Linked DNA regions of Mus musculus. The main gene of each other region encodes a partner of the protein of the gene in region 5 in a complex. Links are inferred from orthologs where the notes say so. Each region holds a gene or a part of one and is shown on either strand. Other genes may lie near its edges.

What was found.
Region 1: the proteins of Ppp2r1a (region 5) and Ppp2ca are in contact, whole or in part, in a cryo-EM structure (PDB 8UO5), measured with the Homo sapiens proteins. The link is inferred for Mus musculus from reciprocal best matches to the Homo sapiens genes PPP2R1A and PPP2CA. Residues at the interface, in NP_055040.2 of Homo sapiens: Trp257, Arg258, Tyr261, Met262, Glu297, His304, His340, Ala415, Lys416, Trp417, Arg418, His454, Val455, Tyr456, Ala457, Arg459, Glu460, Pro493, Asn494, Tyr495, Leu496, Met499, Phe503, Pro532, Val533, Ala534, Asn535, Phe538, Asn539, Lys542; in NP_002706.1 of Homo sapiens: Lys4, Thr7, Lys8, Asp11, Arg49, Pro51, Val52, Thr53, Glu67, Phe69, Arg70, Ile71, Gly72, Gly73, Lys74, Pro76, Asp77, Thr78, Asn79, Arg106, Tyr107, Arg108, Glu109, Arg110, Glu277, Leu278, Asp279, Asp280, Leu287, Phe289.
Region 2: Ppp2r1a (region 5) and Stk26 share a complex: the UniProt entries of both Homo sapiens proteins name them as parts of the core of STRIPAK complex. The link is inferred for Mus musculus from reciprocal best matches to the Homo sapiens genes PPP2R1A and STK26.
Region 3: Ppp2r1a (region 5) and Stk25 share a complex: the UniProt entries of both Homo sapiens proteins name them as parts of the core of STRIPAK complex. The link is inferred for Mus musculus from reciprocal best matches to the Homo sapiens genes PPP2R1A and STK25.
Region 4: the proteins of Ppp2r1a (region 5) and Ppp2r2a are in contact, whole or in part, in a crystal structure (PDB 3DW8), measured with the Homo sapiens proteins. The link is inferred for Mus musculus from reciprocal best matches to the Homo sapiens genes PPP2R1A and PPP2R2A. Residues at the interface, in NP_055040.2 of Homo sapiens: Leu10, Tyr11, Ile13, Ala14, Val15, Ile17, Asp18, Arg21, Ala41, Leu42, Arg46, Glu50, Leu51, Phe54, Asp57, Thr58, Tyr60, Asp61, Thr98, Val99, Glu100, Glu101, Thr102, Trp140, Phe141, Thr142, Thr178, Pro179, Met180, Arg183; in NP_002708.1 of Homo sapiens: Pro103, Gln104, Lys105, Asn106, Ala107, Phe110, Lys123, Arg127, Lys129, Pro131, Glu132, Gly133, Tyr134, Asn135, Leu136, Lys137, Thr147, Val149, Thr150, Thr151, Leu152, Arg153, Val154, Pro155, Phe157, Arg169, Arg170, Asn186, Ser187, Asp188.
Region 6: Ppp2r1a (region 5) and Strn4 share a complex: the UniProt entries of both Homo sapiens proteins name them as parts of the core of STRIPAK complex. The link is inferred for Mus musculus from reciprocal best matches to the Homo sapiens genes PPP2R1A and STRN4.
Region 7: Ppp2r1a (region 5) and Stk24 share a complex: the UniProt entries of both Homo sapiens proteins name them as parts of the core of STRIPAK complex. The link is inferred for Mus musculus from reciprocal best matches to the Homo sapiens genes PPP2R1A and STK24.

The regions. Positions count from the first base shown.
Region 1 is NC_000077.6:52,115,341-52,119,740, reverse strand, and holds part of Ppp2ca (serine/threonine-protein phosphatase 2A catalytic subunit alpha isoform), read right to left. Parts: intron 3,256-4,400; exon of another isoform or gene 2,979-3,255; intron 2,744-2,978; exon of another isoform or gene 2,733-2,743; intron 1,755-2,732; coding exon 1,581-1,754; intron 1,073-1,580; coding exon 983-1,072; intron 599-982; coding exon 437-598; intron 1-436. UniProt on the Homo sapiens protein: Catalytic subunit of protein phosphatase 2A (PP2A), a serine/threonine phosphatase involved in the regulation of a wide variety of enzymes, signal transduction pathways, and cellular events.
Region 2 is NC_000086.7:50,839,908-50,844,170, forward strand, and holds the start of Stk26 (serine/threonine-protein kinase 26), read left to right. Parts: upstream 1-1,463; 5' UTR 1,464-1,639; intron 1,640-1,771; 5' UTR 1,772-1,886; coding exon 1,887-1,928; intron 1,929-4,263. UniProt on the Homo sapiens protein: Serine/threonine-protein kinase that acts as a mediator of cell growth. Modulates apoptosis. In association with STK24 negatively regulates Golgi reorientation in polarized cell migration upon RHO activation.
Region 3 is NC_000067.6:93,622,695-93,626,332, reverse strand, and holds part of Stk25 (serine/threonine-protein kinase 25), read left to right. Parts: intron 1-124; coding exon 125-282; intron 283-366; coding exon 367-552; intron 553-687; exon of another isoform or gene 688-726; coding exon 727-872; intron 873-1,184; coding exon 1,185-1,299; intron 1,300-1,708; coding exon 1,709-1,780; intron 1,781-2,800; coding exon 2,801-2,937; intron 2,938-3,638. UniProt on the Homo sapiens protein: Oxidant stress-activated serine/threonine kinase that may play a role in the response to environmental stress.
Region 4 is NC_000080.6:67,027,034-67,031,433, reverse strand, and holds part of Ppp2r2a (serine/threonine-protein phosphatase 2A 55 kDa regulatory subunit B alpha isoform), read left to right. Parts: intron 1-2,403; coding exon 2,404-2,569; intron 2,570-4,400. UniProt on the Homo sapiens protein: Substrate-recognition subunit of protein phosphatase 2A (PP2A) that plays a key role in cell cycle by controlling mitosis entry and exit. Involved in chromosome clustering during late mitosis by mediating dephosphorylation of MKI67.
Region 5 is NC_000083.6:20,951,679-20,956,078, forward strand, and holds part of Ppp2r1a (serine/threonine-protein phosphatase 2A 65 kDa regulatory subunit A alpha isoform), read left to right. Parts: intron 1-2,936; coding exon 2,937-3,037; intron 3,038-4,109; coding exon 4,110-4,342; intron 4,343-4,400. UniProt on the Homo sapiens protein: The PR65 subunit of protein phosphatase 2A serves as a scaffolding molecule to coordinate the assembly of the catalytic subunit and a variable regulatory B subunit.
Region 6 is NC_000073.6:16,822,097-16,826,496, forward strand, and holds part of Strn4 (striatin-4), read left to right. Parts: exon of another isoform or gene 1-131; intron 132-399; coding exon 400-503; intron 504-909; coding exon 910-983; intron 984-2,042; coding exon 2,043-2,121; intron 2,122-4,367; coding exon 4,368-4,400. UniProt on the Homo sapiens protein: Calmodulin-binding scaffolding protein which is the center of the striatin-interacting phosphatase and kinase (STRIPAK) complexes.
Region 7 is NC_000080.6:121,288,442-121,292,536, reverse strand, and holds part of Stk24 (serine/threonine-protein kinase 24), read left to right. Parts: intron 1-420; coding exon 421-557; intron 558-4,095. UniProt on the Homo sapiens protein: Serine/threonine-protein kinase that acts on both serine and threonine residues and promotes apoptosis in response to stress stimuli and caspase activation.

The DNA.
Region 1 (4,400 bases), on a different chromosome or scaffold from region 5:
GCTCCATGTTCTCATCTCATTCTCAAAGTATGGCAGTCAATGTTTTAAGGTAAGACCCCTACCAGAGGAAAGGCTTCTTTCAAATCATCTACAAGCCAGTTATCTAAAGGGCATCAACATTTTGATGTTTCTTTCTTTTCCTATAAAGAAACAAACTAGATAATGTGAAATAAACCACTGCGATATATTATACCCTTCCTCATTCGCTCTGCATCTTCATCCTTTCATCATTAATCCCAAGTCCCTCCGAGTCATTAAGTGGATGCCCACTATCAGCCATGGATCTGACTTTCCTCTGACTGTCCATCTACTGAAGAGGGTTTAGCTCCCATGGCAGACTCTAGGAATAAAGGACATCTTGCTGACAGCATCAGTGTCAAACTCCTTTCCTTCAGTTACTACAGTTAATTTGACAGGTTTCAAGAAAAGAACATACCTCCATCACCAGCTGGTGAGCTCTGGACACCAACGTGAGGCCATTGGCATGATTAAATGTCTCAGAAATATCTTGGCCAAAGGTATAACCAGCTCCCCGAGGAGATATCCCCCAGCCACCACGGTCATCTGGATCTGACCACAGCAAGTCACACATTGGACCCTAAAAAGCAGGTATAAGTTATTAAACTGACTTCCAAATGTGGAATTCTTCATTTGATAATTCACCAGAAGCAACACTCTACAAAAATCACATTCTTAGTATGTGTGCTGAACTTTTGCAGTAAAGGTATCTCTGAAATGAAAATCAATTCCCACAAGGCACACTGCACTCAGTAACTTGCCCCATCTGCCCGTGTATCTGAGTTTTATTATTAGACAGATGGGCTAGTGGTGACGACCAGGAAGGCTTCTAAACGTCTAATGAGCAATGGTAAGGAGCTCATGTCATTTCATTTTGAAACCCGAGTGAACATATGATAAATTATGCTACAGCTAAACGATTTTTGTTTTTCCTAAGGAGTGTCTGAGAATTTGTCAGCCATACCTCATGAGGAACTTCCTGTAGGCGATCGAGTGCTCGGATGTGATCCAGTGTGTCTATGGATGGTGACAGACCACCGTGTAGACAGAAGATCTAAAAAGATTGATTACAAGTGCTAATTACACCTAAGAGAAACTGAACTCTTTGGACTACACATTAGACAGGAGCTGACACCATTTAGCTACATCAGTTCTAGGCTCTGTTTCGATGAGGATGGACCCTGAATAACTGGCTATTGTTCGACCTAATACCAACTACAGAGTACAGTATCTATTCCTGTTCCTGACCAACCACCATCCCTGAGGTTCCTTCTAAAGAGTGTTTTTCTAGCTTACCCACAGTCCCTCCAGAGCCTGACAGTCCCCCTCACACTGGTAAACAATGCCTTCCATCTCCCAGACCCCTCTACAAAGAGCCCCCAAAGCTGAATAGGTTACATTTTCCACCCCATGATCTTATCCTGACAGTTCAGCACCTAGAAAAGAACTTATCAGTATTTAGTAATGTATCCCCAAATGGAAAATCACTGCCTGCTAAACACCAAGAAAACAATTATTGGAAACAGGAAGAAACCCAGAAGTGAGTTTTATGGTACACACACCTGCCCATCCACCAAGGCAGTGAGAGGAAGATAGTCAAAAAGGTCTGTGAAGTATTTCCAAACATTTGCATTTCCGTATTTCCTTAAACACTCGTCGTAGAACCCATAAACCTGTGTGATCTGTCTGCTCTCGTGATTCCCTCGGAGTATGGTGATGCGCTCTCGGTAACGAACCTAAAGAAAACGACAACAGATGCCAGCTCTTTCCAAAAAAAACAAAAAGCAAGACACTTCATACAACTTTCTATAGGTAAATCCAGAGTTCCAACTGAGAGGAGGAGGGGCTGAGAGTGCACATCTCTAAACTTCAATGAACTGAAATTAGATGATAAACTTTTTAAAACTGCTGTTGCTGTTTCTCAAGGGTGGGTTTCTCTGTGTAGCCCTGGCTGTTCTTCAGCTCAAGGAGATCCACCTGCCTCTGCCTCTTGAGCTCTGAGATTAAAGGCATGGGCTACCACAGCCTGATGATTATAAGCATTTTTAATTAAAGGTTTATAAAATGCTTACCAATATCTCAATTAAGACCAAACCCCCTGCACCATCTTGTGTGAAATAAAAATCATACTTTTTTCTGACCTTTACTAAATTTAGTTATGCAACAATTACCATAACTCAGTTTTAGAGTCTTGCCAAGATTCCTTCCCGATCTGCAATGGCCCCACTCTTCCAGCCGGACAACCACTCATTTATTTCTGTCTTGAGAATGACTTTTCTAGAAATTTTAGTGTTTCTTGTGCTGCATATCCCACGGAGCGCGAGCTATCCTGAGTCACCATGCTACAGCACAGATGAGGGTGTGCTCCTTTCACAGCTGCACACTAGCATCGGGGGAGGGCAGGCCACAACCCATGGTTCCTGTATCTGCTCCAGTTTTCCTGTTTCTTAGTTACTGAGCTCATCTGCTCACATGCTTTCTTTTCTCTTGAACATATTCCTAGAGTGTAGCTATTGGGCTACATGATCGATTTATATGTAACTTCACCAATTCTTTAAAGTGGCAAACTCATTTCACATTCCTTTTTTTTTTAATGGTTTTAGAGCTTTATTGTAGAAAGGCAGAGAGAAAGAGAGAAGGTAGAAAGAAAGAGGCCGGCCGGCCATGGCCACGTGGAGAGAGGGGAGAAGGAAGAGAGAGAAGGAGGGCTAGAGATGAGAGTAAGGTGAGAGCTTAAAGCTCGTTTCACATTCCTGACAGGACACTTGGTATGGACTGCAGCCACTGTCTTAGTAACCGACGTGAAGTTGGCACTTGGGACTTTAACGTAAGATTTTTCTAATAACTAATGATGTTAACTAGCCATGTCCTTACTAATCATGTATCCTCTAGTATGAAGTAGCCATCATGTACCCTCTAGTATGAAGTAGCCCTTCAGTACTTTGCCCATTTAAAATCAGATTATCGGTAGGCAACAGGGCGGCTTCCCGCTTGCCTCCTGCGGCCCTGACGCTGAAGCAGTTCATGAGAAGGCAGCAAGTTCTCCTCCTCTACAGAAAGATTTTGCGAGCGATTAGGCAAGTTCCAAGTGATTCTGACTAAAAATACCTTTAGGACTGGGCCAGGAAAGAATTTAAAAGAAACAAAAGTGCCATAGAAGAGGATACAATGATGATTACCCAAGGCAATATGCAGCTAAAGGAACTAGAAAGGACGCTTGCTTTAGCCAACTTGTAACTGAAAGATTTTCAGACCTCCATGTGCTTTGCACAGGCTCCAAGCCACTGTCACAGAACACCCAAAAAGGTGATAATCACTCTAATCAAGAATGTAAATGAAGCCGGGCGTGGTGGCACAAGCCTTTAGTCCCAGCACTCGGGAGGCAGAGGCAGGTGGTTTTCTGAGTTCGAGGCCAGCCTGGTCTACAGAATGAGTTCCAGGACAGCCAGGGCTACACAGAGAAACCCTGTCTCGAAAAACCAAAAAGAATGTAAATGAAGGTGTGTTAATAGTCCACTACAGTCAGTGGCTGTAATAATTAAATGTGAACTAATGTCAAGAAATAAACAAACAAATAAAATTAGATTATCTAAGGTTAGGCATGCTGGTCCATGTCTATAATCCTAGTATTTGGGAGAAGCAGAAGGATCAGGGTTTGAGGTTTCTTACAGCCTGATCCTGTCTCAAGCCCCCTCCCCCAAAGACTGCAACCAACTTGAGGACTTGAGGGTAGCCTTGGCTTAGAGACTGTACAACGCAAACAACACTCCCCAGAACCACCACACAACAACAATAAAAATAAGACCTATCTTATGAGATGACTGACAGTAAAGGTGCCTGTCACCAAGTCTGATTTTAAAATTACATTTCATTTATTGTGAGTGCACGTATGTGTCCTCTCATTTCATCCATGTGGGTTCCAGTGCTCAAATTCGGGTCATCGGGTTTAGTGGTAACTGTCTTTTACTCACTATGTCATCTCACTGGCCCAAGATAGCCCAAGTCATAAGACACAATATGGCTACATTTTATCTGTTAGCTGCCAGTTTGATTTCTAGGACCCATATGGTGGAAGGAGATAACTAACTACAAGACATATTTAGTGGTATGTTTGTACCCACACAGTGTTACACAAAATTAACAAGCAACTGCAAAAATGTTTAAAATCTGAAGTAAGGCTATAGCTCAGTGATGAATCTGTGCTAGCATGCAAGAGGCTGAGTTCAATATGAAGCACCAAGAATACAACAATTTGAACAATTGTTTTTATAAACTTTGCTACATTTTTTAAAGAATAGAAAATCTTAGTTTTAATACATTAAATTTTCTTGGTTTTTATGAATTTTTGAGGCAAGGTTTTATACATCCAATGCTAACCTAGA
Region 2 (4,263 bases), on a different chromosome or scaffold from region 5:
GCAAGACCATGTCTCATACAAACAAACAAAGTAAACAAACAAGCAAACTTTTTTTTGAGGTCTCTGTGGACATTACAGGTAGGTGGCACTGAACGTTTCTGGGTAGGCTATTGTAGAGAATGACTTGAGCTGGTGAGAAATAGACATTAGATCAGGGCCTACCATTGGGTAGAATAGAGAGAACGCCAAGGCTTGGAGCACTAAGAGTAAGGTAAAATCAATACCATATTTAATATACTTCTACCATATTAATAGAAGGTAGTATGTGGCAGGGGGGCCCAGATTGGACTTCTCAGATGTATTGCTTTTTAATTGCAATATTTGAGTCAAATATTTACTTGGCTGAGCCTTTTGATCTATTTGCTCAGTGGGGAGAAGGCAGTGTGACTCAAGTGAGCGCTTGTCACAATAACTCTTTACAATATACAGAGGGTAAATTTCGGGATCTCTGGGGCAATGAAAACGAAATCTACTACTACTACTAATGTTGATAATAACCAGATACTGTTCTTGGAGAAAAAAATTATTTAAAAAAGAATAGCATTTGTTGAGTGTGCATTGGTTGCACGGGCATCTGGCAAACTTCAAGGTGAGTTCTCATTTTACACATTTACTTGGATCTTATTTTGTCCTGTAACCTTTAGTAGCCCGGGTGTTCACATAGGTGCTTCCCTGAGACTCCTGTGACTGCTATTATTATCACTGTCATTATTGTGTTATTGGGTCCTCCAGAAAGGGTCTGCCTCACTCCTGGAGTTGAACTTAAATTAGAAGAAGGCAGAGAGTTGCAGAAGTCACTGTGCTGCATGCTAAATTCAAATATCTATACTCGGAAAGATGTAATCTCATGCTCCTTGCCTCTGTTATCGTTGTTAAGTTTTCTGCCAATACATGATCCGTTTTCCAATTTGCCTCTCTTTTACACGCGCAGAAATTGTGAGCAATTTCAGCCAGGCCGTTCCTCAACTAATAGCCTAAGGTAAGGACAGACTCAGGTTAAAGTGACTTGAGGCATATCTAAGGGCAAGGAAGCTGAAAATTGCAAGAGGGAAGGAACTTAGGCGTGAAGGAGCAGGTGTCTGGCTCGGTGGCCCCACCCTTGGCCAGGTGGGGGAGCCAAGCAAAACTTTTGCAACTCCAGACCTCTGGGAGGCTACAAGCACCCCAGCCTCGCAAGCCTGTCTGCAACGTGGCCGCATTCATCCGGGTTGCCCTCATCTCCCCTACCCCACTCCCGCAAACTCTTCTGTTCTTTCTCCAGGCTCGGTTATGTTCCAAGTTTTTCGATCCCGATCCCGCCTTTCTGCTGCTCTCCGCAACCCCTGAGAGCCCCGAGCGTCTCCAACTCTGGCTATGTTAGCCAACCCCCTTTGCAGCCTGAAGCCTCAGCTCCCCTGACACCGCCCGGCAGCGGGGTGGAGGCAGGGCCAACCGGGGAACCGCCCCCAGCCGCCTCCCAGCCTAAGCGTTCGGGCGGGTTGCTGGGGTGCCTCCACCTCCTCTTCCTAAAGCGGCGAGGCGCAGCAAAGCGGCATCACTGGAGCCCAGGTCCCAGGCACCGCCACAGGTCAAGCCCTGCATTCAGGAAAGAGAGCAACACTGCAGTTAGCCAAAAGCCAGGCAGGCGAGCGGCAGAGAGGTAGGTAAACTGAGTCCGGGAGAGCAGCGGCGCGAACCGCTCACCTCCCCGCAGGGGGGGGGGGGGCGGAATGGGGGGAGTGGAGGCTGCAAGCCACCAGCCCACTAACTCCACTTCTCTGCGTCCTTCCAGGCCTCGATCGAGAAGCCTGGTAGAGCTGCAGAGATACCTCCGTAGGAGGAGCCAGTCTCTGCCGGAGGCGCCACCGCCACCACCGCAGAAGCAGCGCGAAGTAGCAGTCGCCACCATGGCCCACTCACCGGTGGCTGTTCAAGTGCCTGGGATGCAGGTGAGGAAGCCCAGGCCTCCCGTGCCGCCCACGTGACTGCTCCGAAGCCCCGCTTTGGGCACCAGGCACCAGGGACCAGGGCAGCCACGGGGCAAACCTGAAGGCAGGGCCGGATCTCTCACCAGGTGACCCCGAAGTAAAGCTCGAGGTGTTTCCTGGCGTCCGGGCTAGAAGGTGTTTTGCACTGGAGAGATTGAGGCGACTGGGGAGAGACTCAGTTGGTGTTGGTGTGTGTGTGTGTGGGGGGGGGGGGAGTACACGTATAAAAATAGGCCAGAACCTTAGGCACCTGTACTTGTTGGCTTGTTAATCGTGGCACAGTTGAGGATTCAGCGTGGGGGAGTCCCAGAACTTAACCTCGATGAGATAGAGGCGTCCTGGAATGTGTGGGCTAAAACACCCAAGAGGTGCCCCCACACGGTACACACACAGAGGTTGGGGCGGAGCGAGACCAGGAGTGGTGGAGGCATTGAATTTGGTTCTTCCTGTGTGCAAAGACAGAAGAGCAAGATGCCTTCTTTTCCCCTTTGGTGCCACTTAGAAGCAAACTTCTATCACGCTCCCCTACCTAGCTCAGTGGGTAGTGTTCCAAGGACTGCAGGATCCTGTTCTGAGGGCCTAGGTAATGACTCCACATACCTTTCTCCTTGTCTGTCTGCTAAGGTGGTTGGTACACGTACTTAAGCTTTTGTCCAGCGCAAAGGGGGAAAAAAGTGTGGGACCCAACATTTTACTCAAAATCCATACAGTTCTCCTCCCATTATACTATCGTTTCGTTAAAGAAAATTATGTCAACAAATGTTTTACACATCTTGTTGTTTTTTTAACCACTCTTAACTTTTTAAAGCATTTACATTTGGGGTATCCCCCATGGCAACCTAAATAACCCTTTATGAGTTATAAGTCAGAGGCTAAAAACACTGAGACTGGGTTCCTTATGATCTTCTAACTATGCTAAGTCAAACAAACAAATTATTTCAAGTTCTGAAATGTGGAGACCACTGCATAGCTTACGCTTCTACTAGGAGTCCAAACTTTGTGAATTGGAGTCTCTGTCTACTGCCGCATGTGCTGACTGGTCTCATTGTATTTATGATAAAAATAAAAAGGTGCTTTTAAAAATATCCTTTCTCCTCAAAGGGGTCATTTGTACAGGACATACATGTCTCCTGTATTTAAGGGCAGGTCTGGGTTGAGACTCAGGAAGGGGAGGGAAAGAAATGTAAAATAGAAAGAGTGGGGCTTTTTGTGGTATTAATCCATTTCAGTTTTTCCCAGTGCCCCAAACTTTTTTTTCCTCATGCATTCTCCATCTCTGGCTCTCTTTTCCCTAACTGCTCTGCCCCACACGCCATTCATTGAAGTCTGACTTTGCTTGTATCTGGACAAGTAGTAGTTTGCAATAGGAACTGGTTTTGCTCTGCCTGGTTTGGAACGACACGTGAACTTTCCCCCTTCGTGCACAGCTTTCTATTATGTGGAGACATAGAACTTTACATATGGCTACTGCTCAGAGGCTCCATGCTTCTCTCTCCATTGTGAGCAGGCGCCTGCCTGCATGCGGCCACACTGGTGCCTCCCCTTCATCAACTTTGTGTGATTCTGGGCTACTCAGTGTGATCACCAGAAAAGGGTTCCTGGTCTTTATTTCATTTGGCTTGACTTTATTTGATTTATGTGGTTTCTGGTCTTTATTTAATTTGTTCTGACTTTATTGGATAGAGATGGTTTGCTAAGTGCTCACCGTTGAGCATTGTCACATTGCTCCTTGCTTTGTTTAATTATGGGAGCTAGCTATCTCTTGGATTTTTAGATCTTAATTAAGGTGGGTTGAAATGGGAATCACATATTTGAAATGATCAACTTTGCCTTGCATGGTGTGCCTTCCCCAAGTTATTAATTTGTCAGTCCTTAGCTGTACAGGATAGTCATCTCACATTCAGCAAGCAAAGATTATTGATTCTTGCTCCGCCACTTTCCATCTAAGTGAAGTAGCACGTTATCCAATTATTTTCATTTTTATTTCTAGATGTAGTTCTTAAGCACTTGCTGCAACATTTAAAGAAGACAGCTTTTCCATCTTTGAAATTATACAGGGACCTAAAACACATTCACAGCATGCAGCATGACCCTTTAGCCTAGAATAGTTTTGTTGTATTTCCCAAAAACTATAATGTAGAAATATATTCTGGGATCATAATGGTCTCCTATAGTTTTGTTAGAGTTAGAAGCAAGCAACTTTTAGGTTGTTTAAGTAGCAAGAAATCTTGAATTTGCCATGTGTTCTTTAAATTAATGTGCAATATTTCCCCAAATCAGGGTGGAGTGATTGACT
Region 3 (3,638 bases), on a different chromosome or scaffold from region 5:
ATATCTGCTGCTGTCCCTAGGGGCCAGAGGATACCATCCCATCACTAGTCAGGGAGTTGCATGCAGGGTTATTTTGGGGGGCTGTGGAGCCAAGGATGATGCCCACCTATCCTGTATTGAGCAGCTGCCAACGTGCTGCTCTCGGAGCAGGGTGATGTGAAGCTGGCAGACTTCGGTGTGGCTGGGCAGCTCACAGACACACAAATCAAGAGGAACACATTTGTGGGTACACCCTTCTGGATGGCACCTGAGGTTATCAAGCAGTCGGCCTATGACTTCAAGGTGAGTTCTGGATGGGAGGTGAGAGTATACTGCCACCACTCAAAATGTTTCACGTAGCAACTGTCCTGTGTGATAACTCTCTAGGCTGACATCTGGTCCCTGGGCATCACAGCCATTGAGCTGGCCAAGGGGGAGCCGCCAAACTCTGATCTCCACCCTATGCGAGTCCTGTTCCTGATTCCCAAGAACAACCCACCCACATTGGAGGGCCACCACAGCAAACCCTTCAAGGAGTTTGTAGAGGCCTGCCTCAATAAGGACCCACGATTCGTAAGGCCTATATCCACTTGGGCCACCCCAGGCAGCTGAGGGGTTTGGGGAAGTTTATGAAGGGAGGATGTAAACTTGGTGGGACAGGGCCCAGCCTTCACATCCTTACCTGTCCTTCCTTGTGTCTTTTGTGAGGGTGGAATTCAGCTCTGACTTTGTCTGTCTCCCTGGCAGCGACCCACTGCCAAGGAGCTCCTGAAGCACAAATTCATCACACGATACACCAAGAAGACCTCCTTTCTCACTGAACTTATTGACCGATATAAGCGCTGGAAGTCTGAGGGGCATGGAGAGGAGTCCAGTTCTGAGGATTCTGACATGTAGGAATGTTTTCTTTTTTTCTTTTCATTTGGACCTCAAGAGCTCCCTGGTGCTTGATGCCAGTGGAGGTCTTCTCTCCAGAGGCAGGGCTTGGTTACTACAGTGGGAACTTGTACTGGGCAGGGAACCTGTAGGCTGGAGGACAGGGCCTTTTGACTATCACCTAAATGCTGCAGCCTGGACAGAGTTCTGTCCACTGTCTAGGGCATCCTAGGCTAAGAGGCTGCCTCAGAGAAATGAGATGTACCTTGGTACCATGTTTACTTCCTGCCCTTTCTCCATCAGTTCTTCTGATTCTTTATCCTCTTTAGTGATGGCGAGGCTGAGGATGGGGAGCAGGGTCCCATCTGGACGTTTCCTCCAACCATCCGGCCAAGTCCACATAGCAAGCTGCACAAGGGAACTGCTCTGCACAGCTCACAGAAGGTCTGTTCATGCCCTGGGCCAGAGCACTGCCCCATATGTACCAGCCCGCCTCACTTTTCCTGGGGCAGCAGATGTGGACTACTGTGTATCAGGCTTTGATGAGGTCAGCTCCAAAGTGCCTGTGACCTAGGGCTATATTAAACACTCATTATCTGGGGTTTGGGCAAAAAGTTTGAGAAGGACAGGGCAGAGTGGCACTGAACTATCTAGGAGTCAGGCTGAAGCCTGGGTCTGCTGGTGCTTAGGTACAGACAGGCCTGATAAGAACTGATGGCTTGGGCTGCCTTGTAGTTTTTGGAGTTGACCCCTGGTCTGTGCTCTGTCATCCTGCTCAAGACAGATTGAGAAGACAGGAAATGGAGCCTCTCTTTATCTCCACATACCCAGTGTCTTGCTTTCCTCCTTGCAGCCTGCAGAGCCTATCAAGAGACAGCCAAGGTCCCAGTGCTTGTCCACACTAGTCCGTCCTGTCTTTGGAGAGGTGAGAATAGAGCTAAGCCTGTGATCATGTAGGGCACTGGCTTTGTTCTTTAGAGGTGCTGTCTGCAGAGCCATGGTGTGTGGTGTTCTAGTGGCCGTGAGCCTGGACGTTATCTATTTGATTTCTGGGTCTGTTGCAGCTAGTTATGCACAGGCTTGTGGGTCCAGCTTCCTGAGGATTGTACCATAAAGCGCGGGAGGAACTGACCTGACCAGTACCGTTTTGTGTTCCCAGACCTGCTAAGGTCCTCTGGCATTACGGCACTACTGATTTTTACAATGCCTCACCACTACATGATTCTTTCGTAGAGGAAGACAAAGGATTGTTGGGTCAGACCTAGGTCAGGGAGGTGATTCCTTGGTGGCTATATGACCTTATGTCATTGTTGCCTGATGTTAGAATATTTTCAGAAATACAGTGCGGCCAGGAATGAATGTTCACATACGGATTTGAAGCTAGAAAGTAGATTGTAGACAGTAGGTTGTTCACTCAGTGGGTGACAATAGCACCTAGAGCACAGAGACGGAGGACAGGATGTAGTTGAAAGGAAATAGCCGAGTGTTTCTCCCTGAAGAGAGTGAGTGACCTTAGCCAGAATAGGAGCAGCCACTTAGGGCTGTGTTGTGAACACTGTGTAGTGTTGTCCAGGACTGAGCAGATGACTCCTTAGGGAAGAGTACATGCAGGAGTTAAAGTCCCAGAAATGGTTATTGACACTTTATAGTCTGATCTGGGATGTCTGTCAAAAGTCCTTGTAGAGTACTCAAGAGTTTCTGTGCCAGTTTCTAAATCAGACTGGATCCACTTGATTATTTCTTGACCTTCAGTCTGTAAGAAACCACATGGTTCTGACCTCTTGATAACCCAAGTCAGGGGAGAGAGGATCCTCAAGATGGAAGAGCCACAAGAGTCCCCATCAACAAGGCAGAAGTGCACTACCTGTGCAGCGCTGTTGTGCTTTCTGTAGGTCTTCCAAGTCATCCAGGTAAGATGCCAGTGAGGTCCATGCTCTCTTTGCAGCTCAAAGAGAAGCACAAGCAGAGCGGTGGGAGCGTGGGTGCCCTGGAGGAGCTAGAGAATGCCTTCAGCCTGGCTGAGGAATCCTGTCCTGGCATCTCAGACAAGCTGATGGTGCACCTGGTGGAGCGTGTGCAGAGGTGAGCACAGTGCGCCAACCCAGGAAGATATCTGCATGGGGGTACTGACCACAGAATGAAGCCTGGGACTCATTCTTGGGAGCAGCTGGTTCAGTCCTCCTTTGTCAGGGTTAGCATGCTCTCTCATTTTTGTCTTTGGAGTTAGAGAGGCAAGTGAGCCTTTTGTGGCTTTGAATTATGCATGAAGGTTGGACCCTCATTTTCGGGCAGTGTCTGGACAGAGTTCCCGTGGCAAAATGGCTCAGTGACACAGAGCATTGTGTGCAGCTGACTTCTGACCTTTCTACTTGGTGGCTTCCTAGAGGTTCTGTGTCCCCCAAACAGCATGGATGCTTGTAAGCCCAGGGTGTGCCTGCTACTGATGGGGAGCCCTGAGCTGACACATGCCTGTGAAGGGACAGGCAAGGCAAACACTGAGTCTTTCGTGGAAGCCCCTCAGGCTCAGGGTTCCTGAGCTGTTACAGGCAGATGTACCAGTTCCTCCTCCCTTACCCTCTGGATCCTGCCCTTGCACGCTGAGAGAGGCCCACCAAAGTTTGGTCTAGTTGACACTGATTTTGAAACACTAAGGACATCTTCCATCCTGTGATATGCTGTTGGTAAAAATGCTGTGAACTGCCGGGCAGTGGTGGCGCACGCCTTTAATCCCAGCACTTGGGAGGCAGAGGCAGGCAGATTTCTGAGTTCGAGGCCAGCCTGGT
Region 4 (4,400 bases), on a different chromosome or scaffold from region 5:
GGGGTTCTCTTCTGTTGTTGCTCTATTGGAAATATGTGGTTTGGGTTTTGTACTGTTTTTGGTGAATCTAAGTATGTCTTAGAGCTTGTTTGGAAGCTGTTTCTATGTTGCTAGCTATATATTTTGCTAAGTCCTTTCTGTTGCAAATGCTGTTTCTCAGGCAGAACCTGAAGGCTCCTACATTCCAGACACTACTAGTACAGGTGTTGAGGATAAGCCACTTGTGACTCTGTTGGGCAAAATTTTACGCATAATGCACATGGTAAAGAAAATAGATTTTTGTGGTGCTCAAAAACTAAGAAATTAGGTGTATTAAAAGGCCATGCAAGAAAACTGAAGCACAGAACATGGTCAAATGTATGAGGGCTATTTTATTTCATTTTTAAAAAAGATTTATTTACATGAGTACACTGATGCTGTCTTCAGACAGACCAGAAGAGGGCATCAGATACCATTACAGATGGTTGTGAGCCACCATGTGGTTGCTGGGAATTGATCTCAGGACCTCTGGCACCACTGAGCCATCTCTCCAGGCCTCATTTTTTGTTTTAAGTGAATCCCAGAAAGTCACGTGACGTTGATGTGTGTTGAAGGTAACACACTTTACCTTTTTCTTTTTCTTCATACTTTTCACGTCGTGGGTTCATTAGAGAACAGCTGCCATGGTTGCTTAACCTAAGCATTGGTTCTTCTGTTGGAGGAAAAGCCCAGCTGGCTGCAAGCTCACGTCTGGAGTCTGAGGGGTTTTGTTTTTGCTTTTTCAGTGCTAGGCCATCTATTCTATTACTTTGTCTTGGGAGTGAGTTTCTCTTCTGTAGTGTAGTGGCATGTGGCTTCTTTTAACCTTAAGATACTATTTTCTGGTGTAAATATTTTTCCCTTTAGGGAAAGGATGTTTCTTATAGTTGCCAGACTCCTAGTGGTTGTTTGTTTGTAGTATGTTTTTGTAATAGATTCAAATAGATCAGGTGTGGACCTTGTGTGAGATTCTTGAGGAATCTTTGATGGTATCCTGATTCTGTTTCTGAAAATTATGTTTTCATAGGTTTATGGTTTTCATGAAATAACTCAATGTGTAGCTTCTCTTGTACACTGGGTACTTGAAGGGTAGACTTTTGATATAGGGGATTCTGTTCCCTTTAAGCCTTAGATATTCATAGTACTATGTATCATTGTTTAAATATGATCTTAAAAAATAATAGTAACTCAATTGTAGATTCATTTATTATTTCATGCAGCTGTTTGGGTAAATTTAGGTGTGTAAGACTGACAACATGTGATGTTTGAGTATACAGAAAAAACAAATACATTATGGAATTTGACATGAGTGTGGCACACCAACACACCCCATAGTTGGATATGCTCTTGGTATGTTCTGAAAATGTTTTGACCAGCCCATTCACTAATGACTGATGTATGCAAGAAGAAGTGAACAGTCCGGCTGCATTGCTAGAAGAAACAAACCAAAGCACATGTTTCCAAGATAATTTAACAGGTTTCTTCTGATGTGGACGAGAAGATGGCTATTTTGCTAACTATAAATATTTTACTTGATAACTTGGTTTTCATTAAAGTGATTACATACAATTGTATTTTCATTTAATCTACTTTTCCAAAGATTCTAGTAAGTTTTACTTTAATTTTTTTATGAAAGTATTTCCAATTGTATAATCGGTCACAAGATGAAATTGTGTGATTATAATTCTTAGTTTTGCTAGGCTACCAGTGTTAATGGAAACACTTCTCAAGTAGTGTTTATATCAAATCCCTTCAATTGGACGATCAGCAGACTGGCACTAAGCATCAGTGTGTAAAGTTCCTGTGACCAGAAAGAACTCAGGAAAGTAAGCCATGAAGCAGTTTCAGGCAGGCATTGACAGGCTGCTGTTATATACTTAACTGGCAGCAACGTTATCTGAAGTAGGACTTGGATTGTTGGATTTATGAGAGCACATTTCTTACGGGCTTTTCAGTAGTGAAATATAGAAAGGAGGCTTCAGAAAGGACAAGAAGGCCAGCCATCACATTAGATAACAGCAGACAAAATGTGTTCCAGCCAGCTGTTTCTGAGCAGTGTCTTCCTAATTTTAAAATTTAAATGTTATCTATTACTATGGGTTTTCAGTTTTCTTCTTAAACAGTATAACCATGCTATTTAATATGCAAGTTAATCAAATCAGTTTGTATTTGGTCTACTGTTTCCCTATTAAATGAGACTTTCTTAAGTGTTTCCTTCTTACTCTTTATAAAGCTTTCTCCTTTAAGGCCTTTAAATACAGAAAACAATACAGTAGCATATACGATAAAGCAGCCTAGTTGGGGTATCTACAATTTTCAGTCTGTTGGAGTTGATTGTGATTTGATATATTTCTCAACATAGTCCAATATTTTTTTCTGTTGTAGAACAAAATCCAGTCTCATAGCAGAGGAGAATACAATGTTTACAGCACCTTCCAGAGCCATGAGCCAGAATTTGACTACTTGAAAAGCTTAGAAATAGAAGAGAAGATCAACAAAATTAGGTGGTTACCCCAGAAAAATGCTGCCCAGTTTTTATTGTCTACCAACGGTAAGTGTTCCTCTTTTGCTTTCAGGTACTACATGGGCACATGTCCTGTAGAGGATATAGGCCCTTCCCTGTACTGAATGTAAAGTTATTTCTACCTGGGCACGTGTCCTGTAGAGGATATAGGCCCTTCCCTTTACTGAATGTAAAGTCTACTACTTTTGCTTCTCATATTGTTACCTCGCAAATTTTAGATTTATGGGTACTACTAACTTTTATTTAGGCTGGTTTTATTTCTGTCTCCTTTGGCTGACCCTGAATATTGACTATTCCTTACCAGCAGACATAGGCAGCAGTGTCTGAGTTACAGCACTGTTATGAATATTTTACATGGTAACTTGGCAGGTAGAACCAATGCTCAGAAAAATGTTTATTTCCTTTCCACTTCCTTTCCAACTCTACAGAGGATGATCTCTAGGAGAGCACCCTCCTTCCTTAACTTTGCTTGTTACTTTCTTCTCTATGAGCCGCAGGAGTTGGAGAAGAATCTTCTCATTAGTTGTACTCCTGTAAGGAAAGGTATTAGAAAGAGTTAGAGCTCTGTGAGATGTTGACCAAATTTTGAAGTTCTGCATGATAAATTAAGAGTTGAGGGTGTGTGTGTGTGTGTAAAATGTGACTTGGCTTATCAATCAGGACCTTGAGATTGCAGAGGTGGGTATGATACTTGGAGATCTGGGTGTATGGTCTATTAAAACTTTCAGTCTGAAATCTCACATTTTCTCATCTAACTATTAATAGAAGCAAATCTTAGCACTTATGTCTTTCTGTTTGCACAGTGTATAGACTCATGACTACTTAGGGTAACACTGTGGGAGATGTTTAGAGCCCCCTCTGTGCACTCTTGTACCCTGTGATTTTCTGTATTGAGTTTATAGGAATGCAGTGCATAAAGCATTGCCACTCCTGATTCCATGCCTCGTTGGAGACCCATTTTCTCTCAATTAAATTTCTTGACTCTCTGCCTTCCTCTCTTTTTACATAAATGGTATTTTCTTTGTATTTATGAGGCAAGGGAGGTAATGAAACAGTAGCCCAGGCTAGCTTTGAAGTCTTGATAGCCTACTTCTGCCTCCCAAATCTGGGCATGCCCACTGTATCCAACTTCACCTATTTCTGAAAGCAAGTAACATAACCAGGCTGCAACGCACGGCATGCTTGGCAGAGGCGCCGGATGACAGCTTCTCTGAGGTGCTTCAAGTAGTACTTTAGACCCTTGTGTGTGTGTCCATGTGCCTGCATCAAGTAATAACATAATTATACTATTTTTGATTTTGTGGGTTTTTTTTTTTTTTTTAACTTTTAGAAACAAATGTCCCTGGGAAATGTGTTTTACATTGTAGAGTTTGTGGCTTTGAATGTTTGTTTTCACAGTCAGGGGCCTTATACACAGCAAGCTAGGTAGATACACTACAGTCTCTAGAAGTAGTGGTTCTCCCCACCCCTCACACCCTTTTTTGGAGACAGGGACTCAACCATGTAGCCCAGGCTTACCTGGGATTTGCAAAGCTCTGCTTCCCCGTTTCCTGAGTATTGGTATTAAAGCCATTCAGCATTATACCTGGTTACCTACCTACTTACTTACCCTGCCTGCCTGCTTGCCTCTCTCCCTCTCTCTGTCCCTGTCCCTGTCCCTGTCCCTGTCCCTATCCTCTCTCCCTCCCGCCCTTCCTTGAAGTAGATTCATAGTTTCATGTGGCGGTCTTGAGTTTATTTCCTAACTCAAGCAAATTTGACCTTGGGATCTTTCTGCCTTAGCTTTCCCAGGTTGAAATGACAAGCTTGGGCCACAAGGCCTATTTCATGGCAGCTCATTTCTATTTTTACTTTTTAC
Region 5 (4,400 bases):
TTTTTTCATTCTAGAATGAAGATAATCTCCAATTTTTGTTGTTGATTTGAGCATTAAAGAGCAATAATCATTAACTTTTATTACATAGTTGTCACATGCCAACTGTCCACTGGATTCCTGTTTTGTGCTACTGAGTTAGCGTGTATATTAGAATGGTGCCTATACTCTTAAATGTCCATCTCCAGTGCCTTTCATCTCAGTCTCACAGCAACACCTTAAAGTATCGAATGCTACTGTTGCTGATCTGTATGTGAGGAAGTTGAGGCATAGAACGATGAAGTGACTAATTTCCATCAGATTTTTATGTTTGGACATGACTAAAGGAGATTTTATATTTAGGCTCCATAGTTAGCAGGGTTAGTTAATTGTGCAGAATTGGAGTCTGATTTCACATCTCTGCTTTCCTGACTTCCTTTGGTATGACTTTGGGCAAGATATTTCACATCCATCTGCTTCAGAGGGTTCATGGGTAAGACAAGCATGATTCTGTAACTTAAATGAAGACTAAGGCTCCTGTGAAGGTCCAGGGACAGGGCAAGGCATGTGGTAAGTGGGCTCAATTAGCTCTTACCAAGTTCATTGTACAAAGGTGCACACCAAGTACTTAGTACAGTGGCGGCCATGGTGGGAGCCACCTTACTAAATTTCCACTGTCATTATTCTCATGTTACTCCTGCTGTACTCGTGTCTACTTAAGAGTTGGAACTAAAGATTCTAAGTGCTATTTATTACGGACAGAAGTGATTTGTATTTGATAATCTCCTGTAGATGACCTGGAAGAAGTGATAGGCCAAGGCCTAGTTGATACATGGGTAGCTGAGACCTGTGGAGATTCAGTGCTTTGTCACATGCTACAGCTAATGACAAGTTTACAGGTCTGACTACACATAGTCTCAAGAGTAGGTATTTGCATCTGACGTTAGCATGTGGTACCAAACCAAGTGTCTTCCTTTGATGAACTATAAGAGGGAGCCAAAAGATTTAGGATTCTGACACAGAGACAAGTGTTGGAGTAGCAGGCTGTTGTGATAAGTAGTTACATGAAAAATTGGTATAGGGGAAAAGCCATTTAGCCCTAGGTTTGAAATGAGCTGCTATAACCTTATCCCAGGAGTGCCCTCCACTACTTGTGCTCAGCTCATTAGTTGAAAGGCTGTTTTACAAGAAGTGTAGATGTATAGTAAGTGCTGTGGGTGATTCTGAGAGGATTGAGCTGTGCAGCTGAGAATAACCAATGTAAAGGACTAGGGAATGCAAGTGGCATGAAAAGGCTATCAGGAATAGGGACACTAGGAGAGCCACCTAGGGTTGCCTTTTACTGCCATTCTGTACCATATGGAGCCTCTTGGGTTTAATCCTGTAGGTGGACATGGTGCTGAAATACAGAGGGAGTCAGATGCAGCAACAGTGTGTATATAGACAGAGTGTGTGAGGGGAGGCACAGATGTTGCAAGCCAGTCGCCAAGGTAATGTCTGAGAACAAAGCCCCTGTAGCCAGAAGGCCATGGTTTAGGCCTGTCTTGCTCTTCTCCTTCTATTGTAATGTTAGAAATCACAGTGTATGTGTGAGTTACTATTGCAGTTCTCTAAGTAGGAAAATACTCTCCAGGTGTATTATTTAAAAATTGCAATTTTTTTGAGAGAGAGAGAGAGAGAAGAGAGAACAAGGAAGGGAGGGAAGGAGGGAGGGAGAGAGAGAGAGAGAGAGAGAGAGAGAGAGAGAGAGAGAGAGAGAGAGAATCCAGATAGGAAGAACTGTGGGAGCCTGGAAGTGTGGGCAACCAAAGAGCTCTTAAATTCTAAGTAATGTCAGATTTCTTCTGCTCTGAGCTCAGACACTGTTTAGAACAAGTGGCAGACACATTTCTAGACCAGTGATAATGTTTCAGCAAGCACAAACTGAAGACCTCTGAGCTCATATCCATAGGACATTCAGCTTATTTTTAAAATGTATTTATTTTATGTGTGTACCCTGTCACTCTCTTCAGAAGAGGGCATTGAATTCCAATACCGATGGTTGTGAGCCAACATGTGGTTGTTGGGAATTGAACTCAGGACCTATGGAAGAACAGTCAGTGTTCTTAACCTCTGAGCCATCCCTTCAGCCCCTCAGCTAGTTTCTTGAGGAAAAAAATCAACAAACGTAGTTTTCTAGGGAAAGGCCCCAGGCTGGGCATATTCAACAGCTGTGTTTTTGCTGTTCTTGAATCTGGAAGTGTGAGGTTGAGGTATCAGTAGCCTTAGTCTAGGTTTCTCCTGAGGCTGTTCTGCTTAGCTACATCTTGGCAAGTCCAAGGTGGAGAATGCTAAAATGCTGATGAACAGCAGATGAGGTCAGCGTTTTCCTCAGCAGAGGCAGGGCTTGAGAGAGAGGCCTTTGAGTTTGGGCAGCAGGCTTAGTTTCCCTGTCATTTCATTCACATGCCATTCTAGTTCTGGCAGGAGCTGGAGCATGCCAAATCTAGTCTTGGGCACAGATGATCAAAGCTCCTGATAGGGGTACTTAGTAAATGTGGTAGGAGGGGGAGAGAATGAGTTCAGGAAAAGGATCTGACCTAATCTAGGTGCTTGGAATCTGCAAGAAGCAGTATCTGAACCAAGCCCAAAAGGGTAGAAAACAACTTCTTGGCTGAAGACATAGCTCCTGAAAGTGAGTTCCTGCATATTTAAAGCTCCACTGAACATCCTGTGCTGCATACATGTGCTCTTTTTTGTCCCTGTTGAGAAGAAGCCACAATTAGGATTAGAATAGTTGTGCTACTCAGCTACCATCCCACACCTAGCATGGGGCAGAAAAGGCAGATATGGGGCTTGGGCTTACTCTGCTCACCAGGTAGATGGTGGAGAGAAATGGCAGGTTGGGAGATAGGGGTGCTGACATCGAGGAAGCTTGGGTTGTGCTTGAGTTTTTAATGGACTTGATCTTTGTTTCACAGATACCATTTATGATGAAGATGAGGTCCTCTTGGCCTTGGCTGAACAGCTGGGAACCTTCACAACTTTGGTGGGAGGGCCTGAGTATGTGCACTGTCTGCTGGTGAGTGAAAGCTGTGAAGTCTCTTAATCTCCTCCTCCACCTTGGGGTTAGAGAGGTGGTTCTGCTATGGACACCAAGAAACGGGATTTAGGAAGGCTAAATAGGACCTCAGAATGAATCACCTTTGGATGTAACTTTAACTCAAGTTAGTAGTGTCATTTAATCTATACTTGCCTTCCATTCTGCATACTTAACCACACTAGGACTCAGTAGCACTCTACCTGTAGGTTGTGAGTTTGGGTCATGCAAGGTTCTGTTATTTACTGGTATGACTCTGAAGAGTACAGATCTTTCTGTCTGCCTGTGTAAATTGGAGGCCACTAAAATCCCCTCTGATAACTGACCTACATGCCCACAAACAATACTTTGTCTATAGTAAGTATTCACAGTTAGGTGTTGTGATTGTCATGGTTGGGTAAGATGTGTCATCTACCATTTTGGTTTGGAAGGTTTACTTGATGGATGAACCACATAGAATATCAGGAGGTTAAACCATCTCATCTGGGACTCTTACCTAGTAAATGACACAGATGAATTGTCAAGATTGTCTGCTTGATTGCACCAGGACCCGTATGGCATGGTATGGTACCATACCATACCATACCATACCATACCATACCATACCTTACCATTCAACCTCTGTTGAATGACAGCTGGGAACACAGACAGAATCTGATCCTGACAGGTCCTGCTGTGTAGAAAAGGAGAGCCAAGTAATCATGGCTGCTAGCAGCTTAGGCAATTTGCATAACCTGTGTACTTCTGATACTTGCTCTTTGATTAATGAGGGCAGTATTAAGACTGTTTTACAAGATTCACATAGAAGGTGTGATAAAAAGGTGAGCAATGCAATAGCCTTGCCTAGTTCATGGGTATTGAAGCCCTATTATCAGTGTTTACTGTACATTGAGAGCTACACACATGGACCTCCTGAGAGATTCTTATAGGAAGCTTGTTATCCCAAGAATTTGGGTGAGAGATCAGAGGAGTCTCCAGTCAGGCCATGAGGTAGGGTTCCACAGTGGAAACAGTGAGAAAAACACTGGTTTCTAACTTTGTGTTCTTATTACAGCCACCCCTTGAGTCACTGGCCACAGTGGAAGAGACAGTAGTGCGAGACAAGGCGGTAGAATCCTTGCGGGCCATCTCTCATGAGCACTCACCTTCCGATCTAGAGGCTCACTTTGTGCCTCTGGTAAAGCGGCTGGCGGGTGGAGACTGGTTCACCTCCCGCACCTCGGCCTGTGGTCTCTTCTCAGTTTGCTACCCCCGAGTATCCAGTGCCGTGAAGGCAGAACTTCGACAGTAAGTTCTCACTCCCATCACCTTACCTAACCTTCCTCTAAGCCTCAGCCCCTTTAGG
Region 6 (4,400 bases), on a different chromosome or scaffold from region 5:
GACAGCAGCTGATGGGGGGAGAGAGGAGTCCAGGGCTGTTAATACCCCCAGCACCATCCCTGACCTAACTCCTCAGAAGGCTACAGCCAAGTCAGGCTCTGCTGTCCCTGTTGGAACTTCATGGGTTAAAGGTGACTCCTCGGCCTTTTTTTTTTTTTTTTGTAAAGGTAGAGTCTTAGCCCACATTGGACCTGAACTCATAGCAATCCCTAGGGAATGCTGAGATTATAGACTGAGCTCTTTTATGGGTGACATACCTAGAGACCTTGGAGGTGGGTCCAGCATGTCATCTCTTCTCACTGAACCCTGACATCGATGTAGGGGAGGGGTTGAAGCTGTGTTTGAATATGGAGGGAGACAACCCCTGAACCTGTTGTCCTCCCTTCTTTTCTGTCCCAGGCTCAGGTGGCTTTCCTCCAGGGGGAGAGGAAAGGCCAAGAGAATCTAAAGACGGACCTGGTGCGGCGGATCAAGATGCTGGAGTATGCACTAAAGCAGGAGAGGTGAGCCCTGCCCCTGCTAGAGAGGTCACTGTTCTGACAAGGTGGCAGGCTGCTAACTACACTTCTGCTGGCAAAGGAAGTTTCTCTACTGTCCTCTTGCTGTCATCCCTAGGAGTATAAAGGAGCTTCTAGTGGGTGGGATTCAAATGGCAGCAGCAGCATTGTGGCTTGAGCACACCTACTATGTGCTCCAGTTCTGCACAGCAGCTACCTTGCTTATTTTTGCCATAGTCTGATGGTGTTGCCGTCTGGGAAGGAACTGAGACTTCAGGAGGAGGGGAGACAGCCTTGAGAATTCTAGAACTGATGCTTGCGGCAGGGAGCTGATGAGGGAGGCCCCGGGTTTCCTGAGGTGGTCCCTTATCCTGTTTGTTCTCCTCTCTCAGCTCATTTGTTATTCTTTTAGGGCCAAATATCATAAACTGAAGTTTGGTACAGACCTGAATCAGGGGGAGAAGAAGACAGATCTGTCAGAACAAGGTACCCACCCTTGCAACTTCCTGCGGCCACCCCAGCAGAGCAGCTGCTTGGCATAGAGAAGTTGCACATGGCCATAGGGTGGGGTAGAGTTGCAACCTCAGGGGCTCTTCCCACCAGTTCTGTGTCAGACTGTGTCCAGCCTTACCTGTCTGCCATCTTGCTGTCCTCCCAAGGACATGATGGATGGCCCAGCATCTCCTGCATCCTTTTGTTGTGAGAATGAGTGTAACTATTTATGGTGTGCTGTGGAAAGTCTAGGAAAAACTTCATTGAAGAGGTAGTGTTTGCACTGGGTTGTCATTCAGTCATTTACACTAACCCCCCCCCCCCACCTCAATTAATATATGAGGTGCTGGCTTCTTGTCATAGAGCAGGGCACAGCAGAGAGCAGAATAGATGTGTGCTTATTCTGTGGGCATTGGCAGCTTAAGCTTCTGGAAGGAGGAAACAGATGTCCATGGGAGTGCGGGAATGTTTTCGGGTGACACACTAGTGTCTAGTCAGGTGGGCCCAGTGGCAAGGGCACCAGTGTGCACGGTTGTGCCAGTGATGTTTGGAGCTTGGTCCTGGGGCTCTGTGGAGTTCTTGCCTACAGGGCTAAGTGAGGTCTTCCTTTCATGCCCTGCTACTGAGATGTACGCTCTTGACTGGGATGGCAAAGGTACTCAGCCAGGCCTTATGGATAGATGAGCAATGCATAGAGTTAGCTTCCCAGCCAGCTCACCTATAGCCGCTACCCTCGGTTCTCTCCAGCCTGCTTGCTCATTCTCTAGAGCTAGACTACCCACTCCTTGCATAAGAAAGCAGCAGCCAGCCGTGCATGTGGAGGCACAGCTCTGCTATTCTTGGCCGTGGTTGGCAGGGGCCAGTCAAGAGCCTAACAGGAGAGCTTCCAGGAGAGGAGTCACTCGGAGGGGGAGTGTGGGTGGAGGGGACTCAGGAAATGGGGACAGGCCTGTGATGGTGGCAGATTCATTCAGACTTGATATGAGAAGATGGAGGGGTGACTGGAGAGTGTCCATGCCCTGACTGAGACATCTTCCTCTTCTCTCTTTTTAGTCTCCAATGGCCCTGTAGAGTCGGTCACACTGGAGAACAGCCCATTGGTGTGGAAGGAGGGTCGACAGCTTCTGCGACAGTGAGTGATGGGAAGGGAGGGACAGGATGGGACATGAGACTTCACAGCATACTTGGCTCAGGAGATAGGCCCAAGGAATCCACAGTCCTTCTTGTCCCCACTGGGACATGAACTATCAGTATTCCACCCAGACACTCAGTGGGAAATAGAGGAAAGGCTTGCAGCAGGGGGCACCCCCTAACACTCCTCCCCCCAAACTTGACCCTGTATGCCTCTCTGATATTTCCTTTTAAAAGAGTAGTGTTGGGGTAAAATATTTTTAACAGTGAAGTTAAATGATAGCAGTAGTAGTACCTGAGTGCTGTGGGCTCAACCCAGAGAAGATGAGCTCTACTGGCCTGCCTTCTGAGAGGTGAGCTGGCCTGCCTCCTGACTAGAGAAAGGCTTCAAACAGAATCAGAGGTTCACCAGCCTCTAACCAAATCTGGATTTTTTTTTTTCTTACTGTAAAGATTTTAGCATTTTAGGATATCTGAGAAGTAAATAATCTTATTTCTGAGGAAATGTGGCCCTGTTCACATTTGCATCTTTGTGTCAATCTCTCTTTTTTTTTTTTTAATTGTATTAGAGCTTTATTGTAGAAAGGCGGGGAGAAAGGAGAGAAGGGAGAGAGAGAGAGAGAGAGAGAGACCGGCCATGGCCACCTGGAGAGAGGGGGGAAGGGAGAGAGAGAGAAGGAGGACTAGAGAGTAAGAGAGGTGAGGGCTAAAGAGCTGTGTCAGTCTTAATATTTGGAGAGGTACTGTGAGTCCCTCAAGTGGTGTGCTCCATGATGTGTAAGAGCCAGGACTGGTTTGTTTGTTTGTTTGTTTGTTTAAACTGTCCCTGTGGTTTGTAATGCTTTTACTAAGTATTGTCAATTCCCACATATAGATCAGTCAGATTATGTAAAGTTAAGAACTTAAAGGAGTGGAGTGTATGGCTTAAGGGCTAAGTCCTTAGTTACTGTGGACCAGGCCCTAGGGTCCATCCACAGCACTACAGAAATCACCACTATGTAACAGGGACCTTGCTGGAAAGCCACAGATCTCCAGAGCCAATCCATCCTGAGGTGCTGTGTTGAGAGCTACTTTAAAACTTGAGTCTAAGACAAATGACAGAACTCAGGAAGCCGACCTTCACTGTCTTCAGTTCAGTATCTGCAAACCACTGCTAGTTTAAGTGGGCACAAATAACCCCAGAGGGCTGTAAAACAAATATTATGGGAGCATGGGCCTGCCACTATACTCATGTCTCCCTGTCCTCTGGTTCCCCATAGTCCCTGTACTGTGTAACTGCTGACTTGCCCCTGGTTCTCACTGGTGCCAAGAGCATTTGATAAATGCATGGAGGGCCATAGTGAGATCTTAGGCAGTCACCCATAGAGCCCGTTTTCCAGATTGCCAGGCTTCTCCGCCTCTTTTGTTCCCTGGGCCACATAAGGCATTGCAGAGGCAGGAGAAGCAGAGAAGGGCACAGGCATCCAAAGGGTCCTGCAACAGAGCAGTGAGGCAGTGTTGTCCCTTAACCCTGGAAGCCGCACATACTCAGGATTGACTTTTTGATCTTCTCTTCTTTTTCTTTTTCCTTTAGGCCAGTCTCAGCTGGCTTCAGTTTTTTAAGTTGCAGAAGTAATAAATGCTCAGGTATAGAAGTAAGTAGACCTCAGGCTGCGGATGTAGCGCAGCGGTAGAGCGCTTGCCTCGCATGCTCAAGGCACTGGGGTCCATCCCCAGTACTGCAGAAAAAAACAGTGTACTCTTGTGTCCTGTATCCTCCCCTGCAGAGGTCACTGTTGCTCAGTTTATGTCTGTCTAATAGGCGTCCAGGAAGCAAGCATAAGGGTGTGTCTGTGTGTGATGAGAGCATACACACACCATCACACTCTTCTTTGCATTTTTATAAAACTCGGAATCGCGTGGGAACATGGAACATCCGCCATGTTCACTGTGCTGCTGGTCATAGCCATCTCTCTGTGGCACTCTGCCTTTGTCACCTTCTGCCTAGCGTCCATCAGTGGACATCTGGCTGTTCCTGCACGTGGGCTCTCTCCTACATGTTGGGGACACCGTGTGCCATAGCAGCGTGCATGGGGACCAGGGCTTCCATTGATAAGTGTCAGAAGCCAAGCTGCTGCTCAGGGGCTGCTTCTGAAAAACTGCCATCTGCTCTTTGGTGGCTCCTCAGAAGGCTGCTGGCTTGTGCGTGGCCCAGCAGTCAGAAGCAGCTCGGCTCATGTGTTACCTGCCCTGGCTCTGCTCCCACAGGTACCTGGAAGAGGTGGGCTACACAGATACCAT
Region 7 (4,095 bases), on a different chromosome or scaffold from region 5:
GACCCCAAAGGCTATGTGCCTGAAGTTTGCACCCAGCCCATAACCATCAGGAACGAAGCTTTGGTGACCCACACTGTAGCTGCCCAGTGACGCCACAGTTGTACATGTAGGCATTGATGACACTTTCAGGGGTGAGCAGAAGGCTGCACAAGGGAGAGAAAGTGGTGGAGTGTTCATCAAACTCATGTGTGAAGGTGTGCAGTTACCTGCCTGTGTTCTGGTCTGGAAGAGTCACTGTGTATGTAACTGCTTACAGAGACAGAAGATGAGGACCCAGAGTGACTCGTGAGCCACAGAGCTCATACTGGGCCCTTGTCAGCCTGGCATGGCAGTGTTGGCAGGGCCTATTTGTCTCTTCCTGGAGTGGTTGCTGCCCAGCCCTGTGCCCGTGTATGACACTGCTCTTGTGTGCATTTCCAGCTGAAAGAGAAGAGCCAGGCATGCGGAGGGAACTTGGGGTCAATAGAAGAGCTGCGGGGAGCCATCTACTTGGCGGAAGAGGCCTGCCCTGGGATCTCAGACACTATGGTGGCACAGCTTGTGCAGCGGCTGCAGAGGTAACCGGCCCTGGGCTGGGCTGGATTGCAGGAGGGGAGCCTGGTGGTGCTGGCACGGCTTCTTAGACTAGGAACTGTCACAGACTGCACCTTGGTATATCTCTGGGGTTTTTCATTCTTGCTCTGTTGTCCCTTGGGCCATGGGCTTCTCCTGAGGGAAAAGTCTTGTTCTGAATTCTACAAATGGGAGACCTGAGTCTGGAAAGGAACATGGAGCTTTGTATTTGTAGCCGTTGCCAAAGAAATGCAAGATGCCTTAAAACACCTACATGCAGCAGTCTAAAGAGGAGAGAGAGAGAGAGAGAGAGAGAGAGAGAGAGAGAGAGAGAGAGAGAGAGAGAGAGAGAGAGAGAGAGAGAGAGACAGCCTCAGTCACACCAAGATCATGTTCAGATACCAGGGTCTTTGGTGTAGTAGACTCAAAAGCCCTCCTTAGAACATTGCTTAGAAACCTGTGCTCTGGTGTCTAGGAGCTACCTAGCTCCTGTCTCTACCTCGTGGCTTTAGCCACGTAGCCTCCATGTTGAATAGACATTACTGTTTGGCATAAAAAATAAAGATGGTTTGCTTGTTGGCCCCCAGTCTTGAGGCCATTGAGGAGGAGACAATATCTTTTTAAGATTGCCCTGATTTGAATCTTAAAGGAAACAATGTGTTACAGTGTAAAGGAAAAGACAACTTTGAATTTCCTTGTAGTGGCATCAGATTTTCATTTAAAAAGAGGTTTGTCACGAGCAAAGCAGAACCACACCCAGAAAGGGTGTCTGTTTATTATCCTGCATTCTGTTTTCTGCTTGGAATAGTAAGGTGTCACTTGTGCACTCTGTGATGTGTGCACTCTGTGATGTGTGCACTCTGTGATGTGTGCATTTCTGTGATGTGTGCACTCATGTGTGCACACTGTGGTCAGAGATCCGAGGACAGCTCTCAGCAGTTGGTTTCCTTCCACCCTCTTTGAATTCAAGGATCTAACTCTTTTGCAGCATCAGGCCCGCCTACAGTCAGCACCTCTGACCTGTCCCCCCACCCCCACCCCCCAAAGCCTGCCATGTTGGCAGCCGGCCTTGGCCTCCATGTAGCTGGGCTCAGGCCCACCACACAGCTTTTGTTTGTCACCTTCAGGAGTTTTGCATGTGGTCCAGGGTTGCCTGATGTTGTATGAGTGGCTGGTAAGTACGACTTGATTTCCCTAGTAGCTCAGGCACAGGTAGTATGATGTATGTATGCCCAGTTGGTCCTTTTCTTGTTGCTGGATCTGTCCCCTGCTGAGGCACCTAATCTGCCAGCTCTAGTAGAAATGTGATAGTGTAAGACCCCCTTTCGGGGACCCCCACTCTAGTCTCGGGAGTGTGAGAGCACCCAAAAAAACACGAGGACCCAACTCGCTGTAATTACATGAGGACGTTTAATTACGGAGCTCCGGACCAGCATGAATCCCACACAGGAGATAACAGATGCCGGCCACGAGGCTCGAAAGCCAGGGGCTTTTATGGGGTAAGGGGCTTAGGGGTGTGGAATTCAGCATAGCGACGCACTATTGGCTTATTCAAACATTAACAGAAAGAACACAGTGCATCAGGACTTTGTTCCTGTGGGCTGGGGGCTTATCTTTGTTCACTTAACAACCAGTTGATGTATATGACTTTACTCGGCGCCAAGGGGTAACAGAAAGGAGGTTCCGGCCAGATGGTGTGAACTTAGATAATGTAGCCCCATTTGTCCTTGAATACCTTTTCATCTTTACGGCCAAGATATTCTTTGGAATGCCTTATCAACAGCCATGCCTTGGCCTGCCTGGGGGCTTGTTCTGCTTTGTTCTCAGTCCCAGATGGGGCAGTGGGCTCTTAAACAACTCACAAGTTACAATATTTTATCTTCCTTCAATAGGAGCCAGAGGAAGAATTTCAATTACTTTAAAAATATTTTACTGATTATTATTGGGAGGGTACAGGTGTGTGGTGCATGGAGTCCTGTCTCTCCTTCTGCCTTTCTTCTGGTTCAGGGATCAGGATTTGCTGCGAGGCTCACACAACAAGCACCTTTACCTGCTGGCCCCAAATGTGAAGATTTTGGATATTTGTTTCTTAACATTGAAAGTGCCCTGTCTGTCTGTCTGTCTGTTTCTCTGTCTGTCTGTCTCTCTCTCTGAATTTTTGTGGTACTGGGGATTTAATTCTTGGTCTGGAGCATGCTAGGCAAGTATTCTACCACTGAGCCGAGTCACCCAGCCTTCTCACACACAGAATTTTAAATATTCTAGAAACTATATCAAGAACATAAAGAGGAGCAAGCAAAATTAATTTTAGTAATACTTTGATAATTTCCTGTATCAGCTTATAATAACAGTTATCTAGTAGGATATTTTACATTGTTTTCCTTGGTATTAAACCTTTGAAGTCGGTATGGTGCATTAGCCATCCTTGTCAATTCAAACCTAGATTTCAAGTAGACACTCACAGCCTTTTGTTCTGAGTGGACCCTCCTACAACATCAGATGATTAAGTGGCAGGGTCCTGGTTGTCTCTGCAAACATGGCTATGGCTTTGCACCTCCCCTGGGTTCCAGCAGCCAGGGACAAGGCTCAGCCAGTGCCTGTCTGCTCCCAGGTGAGCTGTATTGGACGGTCTCTTCAGAAGTCACTTCTGTCTGAAGTGTTTTCAGGGCGTCTCTGTCTTAGTCTGAATTGGCTTTGAGATCCTTTAGTGAGCACAGCTCATTCACTCACAGCAGCAACTCAGTGCATAATGAGCCGATTGTAGTTCTTGACATTTGAGTCCTGGATGCTGTGGCTCGAGTAAGCTGCTAAGAGGATCATACAGACCTGTTGGAGTATGTTCAGTGTATCATAAAAGCACCTCTGCATGCAGTGTTGGAGGTGATGTTCCTTAAATATGTCCTTGGCCTCAATGCTCATGTAGCATTCAGAAGCAAGACAGTGTATGCCGCAGACCCTCTGGGCCCCTTTGTCTGCGTGGAACGGGTCTCTAGTCGCAGGTGGGCAAAGCGTTGGATGGAATGACAGACAGATGCAAGAGAGACAAGAGAGGTTGTGTAGAATCTGAATGTAATTTGTCAAATCGAGCATCAAACTTTTTATACAGAAGAAAATAAGGAAGTTGGGTGACACACCCGCAAGGTACAAAGAGGTTACTGGATTCTTTCACAAAACAGAGAAATACAAACACAGAAGGTCTAACAGGAACCACCTGTGATAGAATTCATTGTTAACAACTGGGATCAAAAAGAGCTCCACCTAAGATCCACTTAATCTTAGAAACCAGGGTCAAGGGCTTCGTGCCCTTGCCATAGTTCCTATTTTAGTCTATTGTATAGTCCACCTTCCCCCTAGGCCATTGTAAATGTATGTAACTCAGCTATCTATAGTTCTAAGTATCTACTCTGGTTCCTCCTTAGGTCTCAAACTTCCTTCTTCCTAGATGATGGTAAATTCCTGTGTAGGGCAGTGACTTAGATTTTGTTCAAAGTGATAGTGTAATACCAGAGGCAATTTTGAATGTCACTGAACAGGCAACATTTT